Macaca fascicularis: one gene and its partners. The protein of the gene in region 2 purifies or fractionates together with the protein of the main gene of each other region. This does not show direct contact. Links are inferred from orthologs where the notes say so. Each region holds a gene or a part of one and is shown on either strand. Other genes may lie near its edges. The genes, in order: BOD1, CXXC1, SETD1B and SETD1A.

Region 1 (4,824 bases), on a different chromosome or scaffold from region 2:
GACACAGGTGGCCAATTTGTCTGTAACTCATTCACTTCCAATTATAATAATTGCTACAAAAAATCAGGCTTTGAGTGTCTGCGCATGCAAGAAAGACCTCATTGGATCTAGGGGTCAGAAGAATTTTCACTGAGGAAGGAGAGTAAGGTGTGGGGTGCCAAAAATGGAGAAGAGACTAGTCAGAGTGATCAGGGGCTTGTAGAAGGAAGAACCTGGAGCTGAGGCAGCCTGCACTGGGCTTCTCCAGGGGCTGAAGGTGAGTGATCAGTGTGGAGTCAACCAGTAGAAACAGACATTAGGTAATCTCAAAGATGGTGAGCTATCAAGAAAGAATGTTTGTCATTAACTGACCCATTGTGAATGAGCTGGTGTTAGAGGATGAGTATAATCCAACACCTGAATGTTTCTTTTGAGGGTTAAACTCTCTTGGCCAGGTGTGCAGTGGCTCACACCTGTAATTCCTGCACTTTGGAAGGCCAAGTCGGGTAGATCACTTGAGGTCAGGAATTCGAGACCAGCCTGGCCAACATGGGAAACCCCTACCTCTACTAAAAATACTAAAATTAGCCAGGTGTGGTGGCATGAGCCTGTAATCCCAGTTACTCGGGAGGCTGAGGCAGAAGAATCGCTTGAACCCAGGAAGCAGAGGCTGCAGTGAGCCAAGATCGCACCACTGCACTCCAGCCTGGGCAATACAGTGAGACTCCGTCTCAAAAAAAAAAAAAAAAAATTTAAACTGTCTTGAGTACTAAATATTGGTGTGGAGAACATCCTGGATCTTTGCCAATTCTGCATCTTCCCAGAAGCCAAGGATATTGCAGAATTTGATATTTACATCCCCTCTACTGCTTGTGTAGGATGAGGAAATAACAATAGCAGACATAATTGCTGAGGTTGGGTAGGGGGAGTTGAGCTAACAATAGGCAAAAGATGAAGGGAAGAGAGGATAATGGTGGCAGCTATGGGATTCCAATGGTGAATTGCGGCTACTTAAAAAAACTCAGGATATAAAGCCTTACCTATTGTGGGATACCAACTAGCTCTCAGGATACCTCAGGCTAAACAAGCGAGATTTAGATCCTCAAAACCTGGGTTCAAATCCTACTCTTCTACCTCTAGGTATGTGATTAGGTTAACAAACTTTCTCTGCCTCCATTTCTACGTCTGTAAATAGCAATAATGGTAGTATGTGCCTGCTTTTTAGATTATTGTGAAGCAGTGCGTGCAAAGTGCATAGCATCACTCCTGGTACTTTTTAATTATTCAATATTGGCTTATTATTATTGACAATATTTAATATTTGGGAGGAAATCCACACACATATAAGAGAGACTTAACGAAAACTTTTATTTTCTTCTTCACACTTTTCCGTTATTTTCCAATTTTCTAAAATGAGTATGCATTGCTATTAACACCCAAAGGAGGGAAACCCACAAATTTCTGAACAATAGACGTTTGACTGTTTCAACTTTTCCGGAATTTCCCGGAACACGTTGTTCAAGGAGGACATGGGGGTGCATGCTAAAAGCACGGATTGCTAGGTCTCGATCCGTAAATACTAGGTCAAAATCTTTAAGAAATAATTCTGGTAATCTATACTTTTAACCAGCTCCACAGATGACTGTTACAATCAGGCACTCCTGGGACGTGTTGATTGAATGGGAAGTCAGCAGAGAGTGGGCGGGGAAGGCCAGGCGGGTTGCAGCGATCACGAGGAGTGCGCCTACAATTCCCATATTGCCCCGCGAAATAGCGACGAGCAAGCCAGAGCCCTGCCGGGAGTTGTAGTTTCCCTTGCTAGGCCGCTGCCTATAAAGAACGCCGGAGATGGCTACAGAAAACTTCCCGCCCCACAATGCAAAGGCCAACGGCGACGCCATCTAGGGCGCGCCTGGAATCGAGCAGGCAGTTTCTGCCGCGTCTGCCACAACCTCTGCTGTCTCAGAGCTGGCCTTCGCCGCCGCCGCCCCCACCACCGCCCCCGCCGCCATCGCCACCGCCACCGCCGCCACCACCACCGTCACCTCCGCCGTTGCCGCCTTGGGGCCCTCCTCCTTCACCGCCCCCTTCGCCACCTCTACACGTTCAAGGCCTTCTGTCTTGGAGAAGAAGCTATTATCGGTCTCCCTTGTGGGCCCGGGGCACAGCCATGGCGGACGGCGGCGGCGGCGGGGGAACGGGCGCGGTGGGCGGTGGCGGAGCGGGCCAGGCCTCTGCCGGGGCAGCGACTGGCGCTACTGGGGCCAGCGGGGGCGGTGGCCCCATCAACCCGGCCTCGCTGCCACCCGGCGACCCGCAGCTCATCGCTCTCATCGTGGAGCAGCTCAAGAGCCGGGGCCTTTTTGACAGCTTCCGCCGGGACTGCCTGGCCGACGTGGACACCAAGGTAGCTGCGGCCGCCTGGGCATGGGGGAGCGGGGCTGCACGTGAGGCCGCTGGGTTGCAGCTTTGATTTTCGAAAGCCGAGAGCGAAACAAAAGATAGCTTAAAAATCTCAGCAGTGAGGTCTTACACCGCTTGGGGCAGTACGGAGAGCTTTCTGAGCGATGCACACGTGGGTTCCCGCCTGGTCATTTACTAGCTGTGATTTTACCCAGTCGCTTCTCCGAACTTGGGGTTTCGATGTGGATTTTAGAGCCTAGACCCTGTCATTCCCAAGATGGAACTCCTCTAAGGCCCTTAGTAACAAACTTCGAAACCAAGTAGTTAAGCAAGCGTGCTTTAGAATTTCCACCTGTTCCGTACTCACCACTGAGAAGCTGGCATTAAACAATGATTTGAACACACAGTCTTCACCATTTTATAACTGTTTATACGTTTTCTCTAGCTTAGTGTTTTGCAGACTTTAGTACGGCGTTGAATTAAGATAAATTGTAGAAACAGCACCCTTATTTTGCACTTCATCATTGATTAAAGGAGATTTGGTGCCTAGTTTAGATCTTAATGCATAGGTCAGTCCCACCGATAAAACACTATTTCACTTTACCTACTTGTCAGAGTGGTTTGGATTCAGTGAAATAATGGGTGTTAAGTATCAGACATACAGTAGTTGCTGGAATGTTCATTTTCTCCCTTTTCAAAACTTGCCTAACCACGACTATGGTTGTAGGTTAGGAGACTCTTGTCACTGGACTCCTACAGGGTAGTAATTTCTCCTACCAAAGCCTGTCATGGAAACATTTTGCTTACCTCACAGCAAGATTGTGAGCTTAGAATTAGACCTTCAGATAGGGAAAAACCCTAGTCTGTTTATTCATTGAACGTTTATTGGCCTCTAGTTGCCAAACTGTGTGATTACAGGAAAAAGTCACTACCCCATCCTCAAAGCTTATAGTCTAGGATAGAAAACTGACCTGTAAACCAGGTGGTAAATACGTATGTAGAGAGAGAAAGTGGTATACACTGTTACTTCTCCAAGAAGAAAATCCCATCTAGAAGTACTGTCCTTGAAACAAAGTAATTTCATACATATACATCCCAGATATGTATTGACAGAGCTTTCACCTTTCCTAGGACAAATTCTCCATTCATATTTCTTATATTCCGTTAGGTTTTGTGTGTGATTTTAAAACAAAAACGACTACAGTAGCCCGCCCCATCCAAGGTTTTGCTTTCTGCGGTTTCATTTACCCAATTGTTGCGGTATGGAAGTACTTGTGTTCAGGTAACCCTTATTTTACTTCATAATGGCCCTCAAAGAAATTCATGCGTAGTGTATATAGGGTTCAGTACTACCTGAGGTTTCAGGCACCCACTGGGGGTCTTGGAACGGATCCCCTGAGGGGAAAGGGACTACTGTCTTGAGCGACTGTTGAGGGAGAGTGGTTGGAACCTTCCCATGTTCAGCTCCTTAGCTCTTCCTTCTATTACAGGTTGTTTTAATTCTTGAAGATAATGTTTTTTCAGGCATATGTTATCTGAGACCTTCGTTGCTTTAGCCCAATGGTTCTCAAAGTGTGGTGCTTGGATTAACACCAGCATCACCTGAGAACTTGTTAGAACTGCACATATTGGGCCCCACCCCAGACTGCTGAAGTAATTAGGGGAAATTGAACAGATGTCTGTAATTTGCAGTGCATCCAAAAACAAATAGAACTGATAAGCGAACAGGTGGAGTGGTTGGCAGTACAGTAAAACGTTGAGTGGGCTCATGAGTTCCTTTGACTTCTTGAACTGAGATTATTCTGTATCACCTGGGTTTGTTACATGTTTTGGTGGTGATGTTCACTGACCTTTGTCCTTTTTCAATAAACAGTTTGTATCATCTCAAACCAGGTGAGTTCTTTTGAGTAGAAGGTGTGGTATCAGGATTTATGCTTACAAGGGACAAAAATAATCCTAACTGCTTTATGCAAAGGGGAGAATCTATTGCCTCATGGAATCCAAGGAAGGATTGAATGAACAAACTCTCCCAGAGGGTAGGCATGCATTTGGAACCAGATATTCCCCACTCGTTCTATGTCTTTCATCTCTGTTGATTCCTGTTTTACTGTTGCTTCAGAGTGGAATCATCCATTTGGTTACTAGCATCTCTTGATTACATTTTACAGCTTCTTCCTCTCGAGAGACTGTCAGCTCCAATTTGAGAAATCCCAGGGAATGTGTGCATTGTCTTAGCATGGCTCAGGCACCCATTCCTGTGGCACCCTCTGCCCTACCCTCGTGAAAAGAGGAAGACAGTTACTAGAAAGAAGGCGTTGCTAGGCAGATAGCACATGGTATCGGTGAATTTTACTCCTCTGCCCCCATTTCCTTGCCTTTCTCTTTTCCAGGTTTAGTGGAATCTTTGAGTTTGCTTTCTCAGCCTTTCGGAAGAGGCCAGTT
Region 2 (3,395 bases):
TCTGGCTAAGCACCTGCGCGCTATTGCCTCGACGTCGCGTGCCCTTAATAGGGAGGCTCCCGCGCCTGCGGGCTGGCGCTCTGCAGCGGGGCGCGCGCCCCCCGGCCGAAAACCAGTTGCATCTGCGTGCTGACGTTCAACGACAGCTCGTGCCCCATCGAAGGAGGGACCTGCAGTCGGGGCTGTGCTCGCTGACCATCTAGCTTGCGCATGCGCTCTCCAGTCTCAAACTGAAGGGAAGTCGTCGGGGAGGGCTTGCGCCTGCGCCCTCCCTTCCCTCCCGCGGTCTCCGAGGCGGATACCCACAGCGGCGAGGAAGCTGCTTCGCGCCTGCGCACTCCCTGACCCAGCCGGCGCTCTCTTCTCCCATCTCTCGCTGGGGTCTATCCTGTGCTCGCCGGTCCCTCCGAACATCAACCCCAGGGCGGTCGTGTCCCGCTCCCTCCTCCCCGCCGAACAGGTGCTGGAGCGCGCGGGGCGGGGAAAGGGGCGGTGACGCACCGCAGGTAAACTGAGGCACGCGGGAGGGCGCGCCCCTGCAGGAGGCGAATCCCCAACGTGGGGCTTGTTGGGAAAAGGCGGGGCCTGGCGTCCACAGTGGAGGACAGCTCTGGGTGGGAGACAGGAGCACGCGTGGGCGGTGTCACCACACTGAATACGTGCTGCGTAGACCCTCTGCCTGTGGGAGGCTGGGAATGTGGGTCCCTGGGCCCTCCCGGGGTGCAGGCGCCCCCCATCTTATCCAGGAGTCTGGAACAGTTGCAACCGCAGCAATGTGGACACAGCTTCCTTGGTTTCTTCAAAATTTTATTAACAAAACCCAGGGAGAGGAGGCAAGGATGAGTGGACTCCGCAGCCCCACCAGGCACTGAACATGTCGACGGGGACAGACCCTCTGATAAAGGCAGACGGGCGGTCAACCGGTGGATGGGCACAGGGAGAACCAGAGAAACAGATGAGTGGAGGAACGGACACATGGGCACCGGGCAGCTCCCCCATCTGGAATGCAGGGTGTGAGGGGTCCGGGCCAGAAGGCTCAGCGGTCGGCACTGGAGCGCAGGTCGGTAGTGAGGGGATCGTGCTGGATTGTCTGGTGCAGCATCAAGGCCAGCAATCCCGCGCGGTTTGTCATGGCTGTGCGCACATTGCGCTCCTGCTCAAACAGCTCGTCCAGCTTGTACCACTGCCAAGAGAGCGGCAGGAGTCCTAAGCAGGAACAACTGAAGCCCCGCCTGCCCTCGGCCACGTCCGGCATGGAAACCTACCACATGCACCATGAAACCACAGCGAAACCTACCACACGCACGCGCTCCAAGTCCACTTCCGCACGCCGCAGCTTCTCCCAGCAGTAATGGCGATTGCACTGGCGTTTGGGCAGGCGGCAGAAGTCACCCGTGAGCTCAAAGACATCACGTACAAGGGGGCACCCGCATACCTCGTCAGCTGGCACCTGCAGGGAGGCCGGGTTGGAGGGATGAATAATGGTGATAAGGGAGAGTAAGAATGGGGGCTCAAGGAGGGAGAAGGGAAGGAATGGAGGGTTCAGGGAACGGTGAGGAGGCATGGAAAAGGGAGGAATGGAGGGTGAAGCAGCAGGGAAGGTGAGAGGAAAAAGTGAAGGAAAGGTGAGGTGAGGGAGGCAGGGATGAATGTGGGACAGTGAGGCAGGGAGGAGGGGCAAAATGGGAGGAGCTGAGGGAAAACCTTACTTTGGGGTCCCGTGAGTGCTCGGGGCACAGCACCTGGAGCCGCTTACAGTATGTTTTGCTCTGAGGATTATACACATCACAGAAGAGTCGTGTGGCCCTGGGGGTTTGGAATAAAGAGAGGGTAGTAAAGGGAGGTCCACCTGTCCTTGCCCGTATCCTGCCCCAGTTCCACACACATCCCACTTCTGACCTCCGCCTTAACCCCCCACCTCTCACTTCGCGTGGCACCCTCACTTACCCTTCAATGCGTGTGGGGTACATGGACCCAAAGGATGTCTGGCTCTCATACTGGAGGGATGAGCACAAATGGAGGGAACTGTGGATGTGCGCTGCATGCCCTCCCAGGACACCACCCAGACAACAAATCTGTCCCCCACTGGCCCACCGATGTTCCCACATGGTCTGCCCCCTCAGTCTGACCCCCAACCTTGGCATAGCAGCGCTCCATGTGGCGCAAGGCAACACGTGGGTTGATGGGGTGCCCACAGGAAACACAGAAGATCTGCAGGTCTGTGTCATCACTGTCACCCTCGTTGCTCTGCATGGGGTGGAAGGAACAATAAGGCTAGGAAGGACAAAGTACCGGCCCTGCCCCGCTGCGCCCCTGCTTGCTCACCTCCTCATCCTCGCGCACAGCCTGCTGCTTGGCACGCAGAATGATGGCCTCAAGCTCATGGAATCGGCGTTCCATTTCCTGAAGGCGAGTGCGGGCACTCTGCTGCTCTCGGCGAATGCGTTCCAGCAGCTTCTTGCCGTGCTCTTCAGCAATGCAAGGGCTCTGCTGCCACTGCTGGATGCGCTGGGGGAGGATCTCATAGATGCGGCTGCAGGGAAGGTAGCAAGCAACAGAATGAGTGAGATGATCAGTGAGGGTGGGAAAACAGATGCATGACTAAATGGCAAAAGGAGAAATAAACAGGTGACTGGTGGAATGGTGGCTGGATGGACACGGGGCGGATAGGTGGATGGGTGAGTGGGTAGTGGCTGTTTGGTGACTGAATGGTGGACAGCTGATTGACTGGTAGACATACAGAAGGCGGTGGTCAGGCCCTACCATGTACTTCCTGACTCCCTTGAACCCCTCAGGAATGACTCACTTGGCTGCCAGCTTCATGCCACAGTCATCTGAGCAATACTTGGAGCTGGGCTGGGCGGGGCGCACACAGCCGGGCCCCAGGCACTGGGGCAGCGACGCAGGGTCCTTGGCATCAGCCCTCTCTGGGTGTTTCCATTTATCCTTGTGCTTCTGCTTCTGCCGATGCCGCTTGTATCGCTCCTCCTTCTGTTAAGCAAGACAGGTCAGGTCAGGGTGGAGTCAAAGTCAGCCCCAAACCCCAGACTCCTGCTCCATTCTAGCCCTTTCTGGCTCTTGCCCCATTCAGCCTCTGACCTCTGCCTCTCCCTCAACCCCACCCTCTGCCTTTCCACATCCATTTTACCCTCTCCATCACCTTCTTCTCAGACTTCTTCTCCCGACGCTTCACATGCTTCACTTTCACTGCCCTCTTCCGCAGCGCAGGGTCCAGGAATGGGGACTCTTCTGTGTCGCTCATCCAGGGCTGCAAGCAGGGCATGCACTGACCCACCTGCCCCGCTCATGACAACCCCACCACCTACTCATGTCCCATATCAGCCTTCCATACCCTCTGTCTCCTCATTATGGATACTCTCTGCTTCTGTAACCTC
Region 3 (4,571 bases), on a different chromosome or scaffold from region 2:
CTAGTGGCACTCCCTCAGTCCCCCACAAGTAAACAAACTCTGCCTCTTCCCCTAACACAGGCAACGCTGGGGACTGTCTAAACCCAGGCCACCAGGGCTCAGAGAGGGGGCCTGCGGGGGTGTCAGCGGTGGGGAAGCCTCTGGGTGGTCCCTAGGGGTGCGGTGGCCAAGGACCTGCACAGTTGGTAAATTACAGACTGTCTCCTAGCAACAGACAACACATTTAGCTCCACGCGACTCTACCCTCAGGAGGGGGCTAAGAAAATAAATCAGGTTGTGGGGCGTCGCGGGGGGGATTCCAAGGAAGAGTGGGGGTGGTCCTCCCCCCGCTGCAGGAGGGACGGGGAGGGAAAGGGTCGGGCTGACAGGTCTCCCCGCGCTCCTCCCCTGCCGGGCTCACCTTTGGTGTCCAGCTCCACGTGGATAATATTGCCCATGACGGAAGTGCTGTGCAAGTGCTGAACGGCATCCTTGGCTCCCCGGACAGTGGCAAAGACCACCTTGGCGATGCCCAGGTGCTTCTTGGTCTTCGGGTTGTACAAAATCTCCACCTCCTCCACCTCCCCATACTTCTTGCACATGTCCCTCAGGAAGTTTTCGCGGATGTTATCATTCAGCTTGGCAAATGTCACCTGCTTCGGAGGCACCGGGCCCACGTAGAACTCATCGATCTGGCAGGGGCCGAGGGGGAAGGGAGTTTGGAGAACGTTTAAACCTAAGGGAAAACACAACATTCCCCCCCGCCCCCCGCAACTCGCCCGCCCGTTGAAAACAATAAAGGGTAAAAAAAACTAAAAAAAAAAAAATTTTTTGGGGGGGGAAAATGCACGCGGGCGGGCCCGGGAAGCGGAGGATTAAATCGTTTGGAACGTGGAAGTCCTCTGGGTTCGGAAGGAAAGGGGAAAAAGAAACAGTTTCTCTTTCCCCACCCCCCATTCTGGCCTCCTCTTCCTGCTGCCGGGTCAGGGGCGACCCCTCGGGCTTAGGAAGTTGTCTTTTAGGGGGCTGGCGAGAGGGGAGAGTCTCGGGGCCAAGCCCCCGGGCGGACTGGAGCCCCCCGCGGGGCGTGCAGGACACTGTATCTACGCCGTGATTACAGTTTCACCCAGTGTTATTTTGTTTACAGTAGCTGAGAGGGGACACCCTCTCGCCAGCGCTCTACCCCTCCCCGCCAAAACTTCCCTGGCCCCGGACGGCGGGAACTGGGAATCCGGCCGGGCTCGGTCAGGACTGGCGTTATTTTCGAACTCGGGGAGGTGGGGGAGGGACGGCGGGGCAGTGGGGAGGGGTCCTACTTTGAATTTGGGCACCGACAGCTCCAGCTCCTTGTTTTTGGTCCAGATCCCGACGACCCGGGGATCTTCGACAATTTCCACCGGGCGGTTGCTGGACATCTGTAGGGAGAAATTGGGGGGCCGGGATGGGAGGGCTGGTCGCCCTCCCCAGAGGCAGACCCCTTTCTCCAGGCACTTGTCAAACTCCAGGGCTGGGGCCCCGTCTGACAGTTGGCCGGGGGGTCGGGCGGGGGGTCCCCGGCCGCTAGGCGCGTCTCCCCCGGACGCGGCGGGGGACACGGCTGGGGGGGCACGCCGGCTACTCACCGCCAGGCTGAAATGCTGCCCATCGTAGCGGTACAGTTTATGATGCCCCTTTTTCAGAGCCGGGTCAATCATCAACTTGTAACTTCTCCAATGGTGGTTCCTCCTCTCGCCCGAAGGGCCGGGCTGCGGCGGGGGCTGCTGGTGGTGGTGGTGGGGGGGGTGACTGTTCTCCATGCCGTTAACCCAACCTGAAAACCAGCAAGTTGTTGTCGTCTCCGCCGCGGCGGCGGCGGCCGCTTCTACACACACGCGAAAGAATCCAATCGGCCGGCCCCCACCCCCTCCCACCTTGCCAGCGCGCCCCGAAAGGAGCTGTCTCGCTGGCTCCCCCCAAAACAAGAATGGAGCGAGAGAATAACCCTTCCGGGAGAATTACGCGCCCGCCCGCTCGGCCACCGTCTCGGGGCGGCTGCGAGGGGCTCCCGGGGGTCCCCGGGGCGGGCTGGCGGGGCCCGGGGCGCCCGGAGGACGCGGGCTCCGGCCCATGGTGCCCGCCCGGCCGCCCGGCGTGGCGCTCGCCCGCTCGCTCGGCCCGGCTGTGGCGCGGGGCTCGCGGCAGGGCCTGGCGGCGGCGGCGGCGCCGCCACCGCCCGCCCGCCCGCCCGCTCGGGCCAGGGCCGGGGCCGGGGGCTCGGGCCGCCCGGCTGCCGGCCGCGGCCTCTCCCTCCCCGAGCCGCGCTTACATCCCCGCCGGGCGCCGGCCTCCCTGCGCCGCCAGCCAGTACATGGTGTCCCCCGCGGGAGCCGAGGCCGGGGCGGCCAGACCGGGGGCCGGGAAGGGGGGGCGCCGCCGCCGCGGCTGCCGGGCCCGGAGCTGCTGCCGCCGCCGCTGCTGCTGCTGCTGCCCGGGAGGCGGCTGGCGGCGGAGGCTCGGCTCCCAGTAGCCGCACATCCCACAATACACCGCTAAGGAGCCCGACCCGAGCGCTCACCCTCCTCCTCTTCCTCCTCCTCCTCCTCTTCCTCCTCCCCTCTCCTTCCTCGCCGCTTCCCCAGGCACTCTCCCGGCGGCGGCAGCTGCGCCGCCAAAGCCCCGGGCCCCAGCGGCCCCCCACCCCTCACTCGCGCGCTCCCACACTGCCTCCCCCTCCCCGGGGGAAGGCCTTTTAATTTATTTATTCTTCTGGGACTGGGGTGGGGGTCTTGGCTGGCGGGGGAGGGGGTCTCCCCGGGCTCTACCTCCCGCGGCCGGGACTACCCTCCGAGCCGCGGCCGCCGCGGCGTGCGTCCCGGGCCTGCAAAACTGTTTCCAAACTGCCCGGGCCGGAGGCGGGCGCGCGGGGACCCGGGGAGAGGGCTGGGGTCTAGGGGGCCGAGGGTGTGTGTGGACGCTGGGAACCGCGCGGGGAGGCCGGCGTCGACTCAGAGGAGTTGCAATCGAGGTATCTGCGCTCCAGCTTCCTCCTCCGGCCCGCGACCCCCTCCCCGGAGCTGAGCTGGGGAGGGGAGACCAGGGTTCACCACGTTAGCATTCGCATTCCTGGGAGGATGTAGCCCTCGCCTGGACCTGGGCGATAGAAGCCTTCTTCTGTTTTTATTTTTGGAGGGGATCGCCCTGTAATTGTCCTGAACACATGCTTCCCCCCCTTCCTCCAGCCACCCGCGGAGGAGAGAGTCCCCCTTTTTTGCATTTATCTTTTCCTTCCCCTTTCTTTATTAAAGGTCCGGGAGTGGCGGCGGCCAATCAGCGCGCGGCTTCCATTTTGTGAGTTCAACTCCGAGGCTCCCGGGCTTCGCGAGGACGCGTTTGCAGCCCCCTCTGCCGCTTCTCTCTGGCGGCCGAGGCGCAGGAGCCGCCTCGCCGGGGCTCGGAGCTGGTGTAGCTCATATTGGGGCTCTTTTCGGGGTTTGTAATTTGGCCGTGGGTAGGTAATTGGCTGGAGCAGGGCGGCAGGGCGCGTCAGCCAATCAGCGCGCGGCTTCTATAGGGCTTGAGTTATTAGACGCTGATCTCAAAACATCCTTCATCAGACACGAAGGAGAGGCCAACAGATGAGGGAAGCCATTTTTCTGCAATGGAATTAAATGGCCAAGTGGGTTTTTCCTTTGTTGCAAATGGGGAATGTTTTTCCTTTGACTCTACCATCCAGTTCAGGACGTCTCAGTGTGTTTAACATTTGTCAACAGGCCCAAGGACTCACAGTTGGAAGACTGGAGAAGACTTTTTAAAAAGATCTGGATTTTTCCTTATGACTTGGAATCCATCTTTGTCTTGTATAACTAGGTCATAGCACACCATTCATGTCAGCAGTTAACAGTTTTGAATTCCAAAAAAACCTAAGTAAATGACATATTTTTTTCCTTTTTGTTCTTTGGGTGGGTGGGGGGAGCTTGGAGCTGTCTTAATCTGTATTCTCTTGACTGAACAATAAATTTTTAAATATATCTAGTTTCCTCTATTAAACACTTAAACCTGGCCATCTTATTAACTCCTTCTCTCTTTTTAACAAGGTAATGTTTTAAATGTATATAGCTTTAGGACTAGCGAAATGGCAGCAACAAAAAATTGTGAGCAGTTGTTACTCTTAGTTTTTAAAAAACCTTTTACATTGTAAGTACCCAATCCATTCTGTCCTGACGCAGTACAGTTTTTATGTTAATGTTGCTGAGATGTCCTTAATTTTCCGAACCTTCATCTGCATGTATGTCTTTGTCTCTCTTGTCTAATATAAGCCAGTTAAGATGCTTTGAGACGATCTTGCTTTTATAAAGCTAAGGTTCTAGCTTTATGCTTTTGAAAATGCTTACAGCACTAAATGCTAGTCAGCTTTCTTCCCCGTAGCTTGTACACTTTCTTTGAAAATCGATCTATTTGAAGAAAAACAGCCCTGTTTTTCTCGTCTTTGGGGTTGGGGGTTGGGGGGAGCTGGTGGGTGAGGGAAAGGAAGACCTTCTCTTTGTGTCGAGAGACTAAAGCCGTCACAGGAAACTAGATTAAAACTGGAAAACAAGTCCTAACTGGTTCCAGCA
Region 4 (2,745 bases), on a different chromosome or scaffold from region 2:
ATGGCCAGTGAGCTGGGAGTGAGGAGGAAGAACAGATATGTGGTCAAGATGAGCTCCAGTCTGGACATGTGGGGTTGCAGTGCCCCAGGGACATCTAGGGGACGACGCCCAGCAGCTCCACTGAGGTGGCTTTTGGCTGGAAATGGAAGTTTGGGAGGAGTCCCCACCACACAGCTGGCGGCTGAGGCTCTGGAAGGGAGTGAGGTCACCCGAGGAGGGCACGCAGAGGCTCCTCACTGTCTTCTGGGAAGTAAGGGTTGCTCCTCACAGGGGTGCGGGGCCTAACATGGGCGGCCTGCTATTTGCATTGGTCGGTGGCAGCCAACAGGTGCCTGTTTTGGAGAGAGGTCCAGGGAGGAGAGATGAGCAGGGTGCCATTGGTGACATGGCCACTGTCATTTCAGGAGCTGCCCCAGCCCCAGACTTGCCCCAGCAGTCCGGGGACCCCACTGTGATCAGGCAGATGCTCGAAGGAGCCAGTGGCTCTCCTTCCCGATGCAGATTTCCCTGGAGTCCCCTGCGGGTGACTTAGAATGGCCACCAGAGGCTTAGTATGCTGCCCCAAAGAGGGAGGGCTCCTGGAAGCAGAGTCGAGAGAGTCAGTGCCGGGTTAGCGGGAGCCGGAGGCAGAGCTGCAGCTCCAGGCCTGGTGGGCATGGACCTGGGGTGCTGGCTGGCAGGTGTGCTCGCGGGCAGGAAGTGGGGGGCTCTTCCCTGACCATCGCATCTCACCCTGACAGATGGTGGCCGACATGCGGGAGAAGCGCTACGTGCAGGAGGGCATTGGCAGCAGCTACCTGTTCCGGGTGGACCATGACACCATCATCGATGCCACCAAGTGTGGCAACCTGGCCAGGTTCATCAACCACTGCTGCACGGTGCGTCAGGGGCTGGCCGGGGCAGGAGTTCGGGGGTCGGTGGGGGTGGCCACGGCTCACATGCCCTTCCCTCCGCAGCCCAACTGCTACGCCAAGGTCATCACCATCGAGTCCCAGAAGAAGATTGTGATCTACTCCAAGCAGCCTATCGGCGTGGACGAGGAGATCACCTACGACTACAAGTTCCCACTGGAAGACAACAAGATCCCGTGTCTGTGCGGCACGGAGAGCTGCCGGGGCTCCCTAAACTGAGGTGGGGCAGGACGGGTGCCCACACCCCTATTTATTCCCCCTGGTGCCCTGAGCTCCCAGCACCCCCCAGCCTTAGTGGGCTCAGCAGGGCCCACATGCCCCCATCTCCAAGCGTGGGGTTGGGGGGCCCCAAGCCCAGCGAGGGAGCCTCAGTCCCTGGAGGCAGCTTCTGCCTCTCCTGTCGCCCCTGCCCACCACCCCCTGATTGTTTTTCTTTGCGGAGAAGAAGCTGTAAATGTTTTGTAGCAGCCAGCAGCTGTTTCCTGTGGAAACCTGGGGTGCCGGCCTGTACAGATTCTGTCCTAGGGGCTGCACAGTCCTCTCGCTTTGTGTTAATGGGGACTTCCCCTTATGCCCTGCGTGTACCCCTCCCCAGTTTAGGGGTCTCTGGGGCAGTGGCCATGTTCCCCCCCTGGGGGGGCTCTGCACCCCCAGTCCTGGGGACTCCGTGCCTGGAACCCTGCCTCATCTGTTCCTGCCAGACCCTGAGGGTCACCCTCCCACCCTGGTGTCACGCCCCGGCTCAGCCAGGCCAGGATGGCGGGGTGGGCCCCTTCTGCTGGGCTGGACTGTACATATGTTAATAGCGCAAACCTGACGCCACATTTTTATAATTGTGATTAAACTTTATTGTACAAAAGTGCTTGGTTGGTGTATTTGGGCAGGAGCAAGGGGTTGGGGGTGGAGGGCACAGAGGATTGGGCAAGATGAAGAGAGGGAAAAGTGAGTACCTGAAGTGTGAGGCTGGTAAAGGGGCCTTCAGGCAACAACCCAGACCTGTGGAGGCCCCGAGACTGCTTTGGACCCCTAGACAGGCCGTGGCAGCCGCAGCCGCACCCACACCAGGAATCCCCCACCAGTGCCCGCCAGGGCAGTGCCAAGGTCAGGCCTCCCCTTCCCAGAACCACAGCTGCAGCTGGGCCTCTGGCCTCCTGGGAAGCCCAGCGGGAGGGAAGGCCTGAGGTCACACTGTGGGATGAGGTCACCCGCTGGCTCCACCCAGAGCCCCGGACCCCTTAGCCCACTCAGCAAGTTCCAGCTTCATCACCCCAAGTTCTCTGCTGGACCCGGATGCCAGTGGAGCACAGAGTGGCCGCCAGGGGGCGCCTTAGGGCAAGAGTGGTGGGGGTTGTGGCTGGGCGGGTCTCTGTTCCTGGAATGGGGCAGGAGGGAGAAGGAGGAGCCAGCGGAAGGGGACGGTGTGTGGGCTGGCCAGCCCTGGACGAAAGAAGAGGGCCCCTCCAGGCCAGTCTGGGCACCCTGGGACAGCGGCTGCAGGTAGGCAGAGGCGCTGCCAGTGCCCACCCAGGTGGCCTTTCCCTCCCTCCGGCCCTTCCCACCTTCCTATAACCTTCCCTCCACCTCCCTCAACTCCCGGCCTCCCCACCCTTTTACTGCCCTCAGACCTCTCTCCCCAAACCCTGACCCCTTCCTGTACCCCAAGCCCGTCCCTCTCTCCATAACTCAGCCATCAGCAGGGGCAGATGGCTGGTGGCCTGGTTGCTGCAGCTCCCAGGATCAGCTCTGCCCTCCCCCCAAACGCCAGCCTCGTCAGTGCTCCAGGGCACCTCCAGCAGTAACAGGTGGTTGCGGCAGGTGGCAGCCAGTCCCTGGG

Evidence for each region.
Region 1: the proteins of CXXC1 (region 2) and BOD1 purify together in Homo sapiens (affinity purification with mass spectrometry; 4 studies listed by BioGRID and IntAct, counting the BioPlex papers as one, with this or other methods). This does not show direct contact. The link is inferred for Macaca fascicularis from reciprocal best matches to the Homo sapiens genes CXXC1 and BOD1.
Region 3: the proteins of CXXC1 (region 2) and SETD1B purify together in Homo sapiens (affinity purification with mass spectrometry; 11 studies listed by BioGRID and IntAct, counting the BioPlex papers as one, with this or other methods). This does not show direct contact. The link is inferred for Macaca fascicularis from reciprocal best matches to the Homo sapiens genes CXXC1 and SETD1B.
Region 4: the proteins of CXXC1 (region 2) and SETD1A purify together in Homo sapiens (affinity purification with western blotting; 16 studies listed by BioGRID and IntAct, counting the BioPlex papers as one, with this or other methods). This does not show direct contact. The link is inferred for Macaca fascicularis from reciprocal best matches to the Homo sapiens genes CXXC1 and SETD1A.

Annotation. Positions count from the first base shown.
Region 1 is NC_088380.1:180,434,816-180,439,639, reverse strand, and holds the start of BOD1 (biorientation of chromosomes in cell division protein 1), read left to right. Parts: upstream 1-1,907; 5' UTR 1,908-2,149; coding exon 2,150-2,386; intron 2,387-4,824. UniProt on the Homo sapiens protein: Required for proper chromosome biorientation through the detection or correction of syntelic attachments in mitotic spindles.
Region 2 is NC_088392.1:39,459,006-39,462,400, reverse strand, and holds the end of CXXC1 (CXXC-type zinc finger protein 1), read right to left. Parts: intron 3,269-3,395; coding exon 3,149-3,268; intron 2,992-3,148; coding exon 2,807-2,991; intron 2,534-2,806; coding exon 2,326-2,533; intron 2,248-2,325; coding exon 2,137-2,247; intron 1,998-2,136; coding exon 1,948-1,997; intron 1,807-1,947; coding exon 1,710-1,806; intron 1,451-1,709; coding exon 1,298-1,450; intron 1,184-1,297; coding exon 1,037-1,183; 3' UTR 791-1,036; downstream 1-790. UniProt on the Homo sapiens protein: Transcriptional activator that exhibits a unique DNA binding specificity for CpG unmethylated motifs with a preference for CpGG.
Region 3 is NC_088385.1:128,897,100-128,901,670, reverse strand, and holds the start of SETD1B (histone-lysine N-methyltransferase SETD1B), read right to left. Parts: upstream 2,992-4,571; 5' UTR 2,781-2,991; intron 2,606-2,780; exon of another isoform or gene 2,534-2,605; intron 2,504-2,533; exon of another isoform or gene 2,285-2,503; intron 1,790-2,284; 5' UTR 1,776-1,789; coding exon 1,602-1,775; intron 1,395-1,601; coding exon 1,296-1,394; intron 672-1,295; coding exon 401-671; intron 1-400. UniProt on the Homo sapiens protein: Histone methyltransferase that catalyzes methyl group transfer from S-adenosyl-L-methionine to the epsilon-amino group of 'Lys-4' of histone H3 (H3K4) via a non-processive mechanism.
Region 4 is NC_088394.1:29,162,111-29,164,855, forward strand, and holds the end of SETD1A (histone-lysine N-methyltransferase SETD1A), read left to right. Parts: intron 1-740; coding exon 741-878; intron 879-956; coding exon 957-1,130; 3' UTR 1,131-1,770; downstream 1,771-2,745. UniProt on the Homo sapiens protein: Histone methyltransferase that catalyzes methyl group transfer from S-adenosyl-L-methionine to the epsilon-amino group of 'Lys-4' of histone H3 (H3K4) via a non-processive mechanism.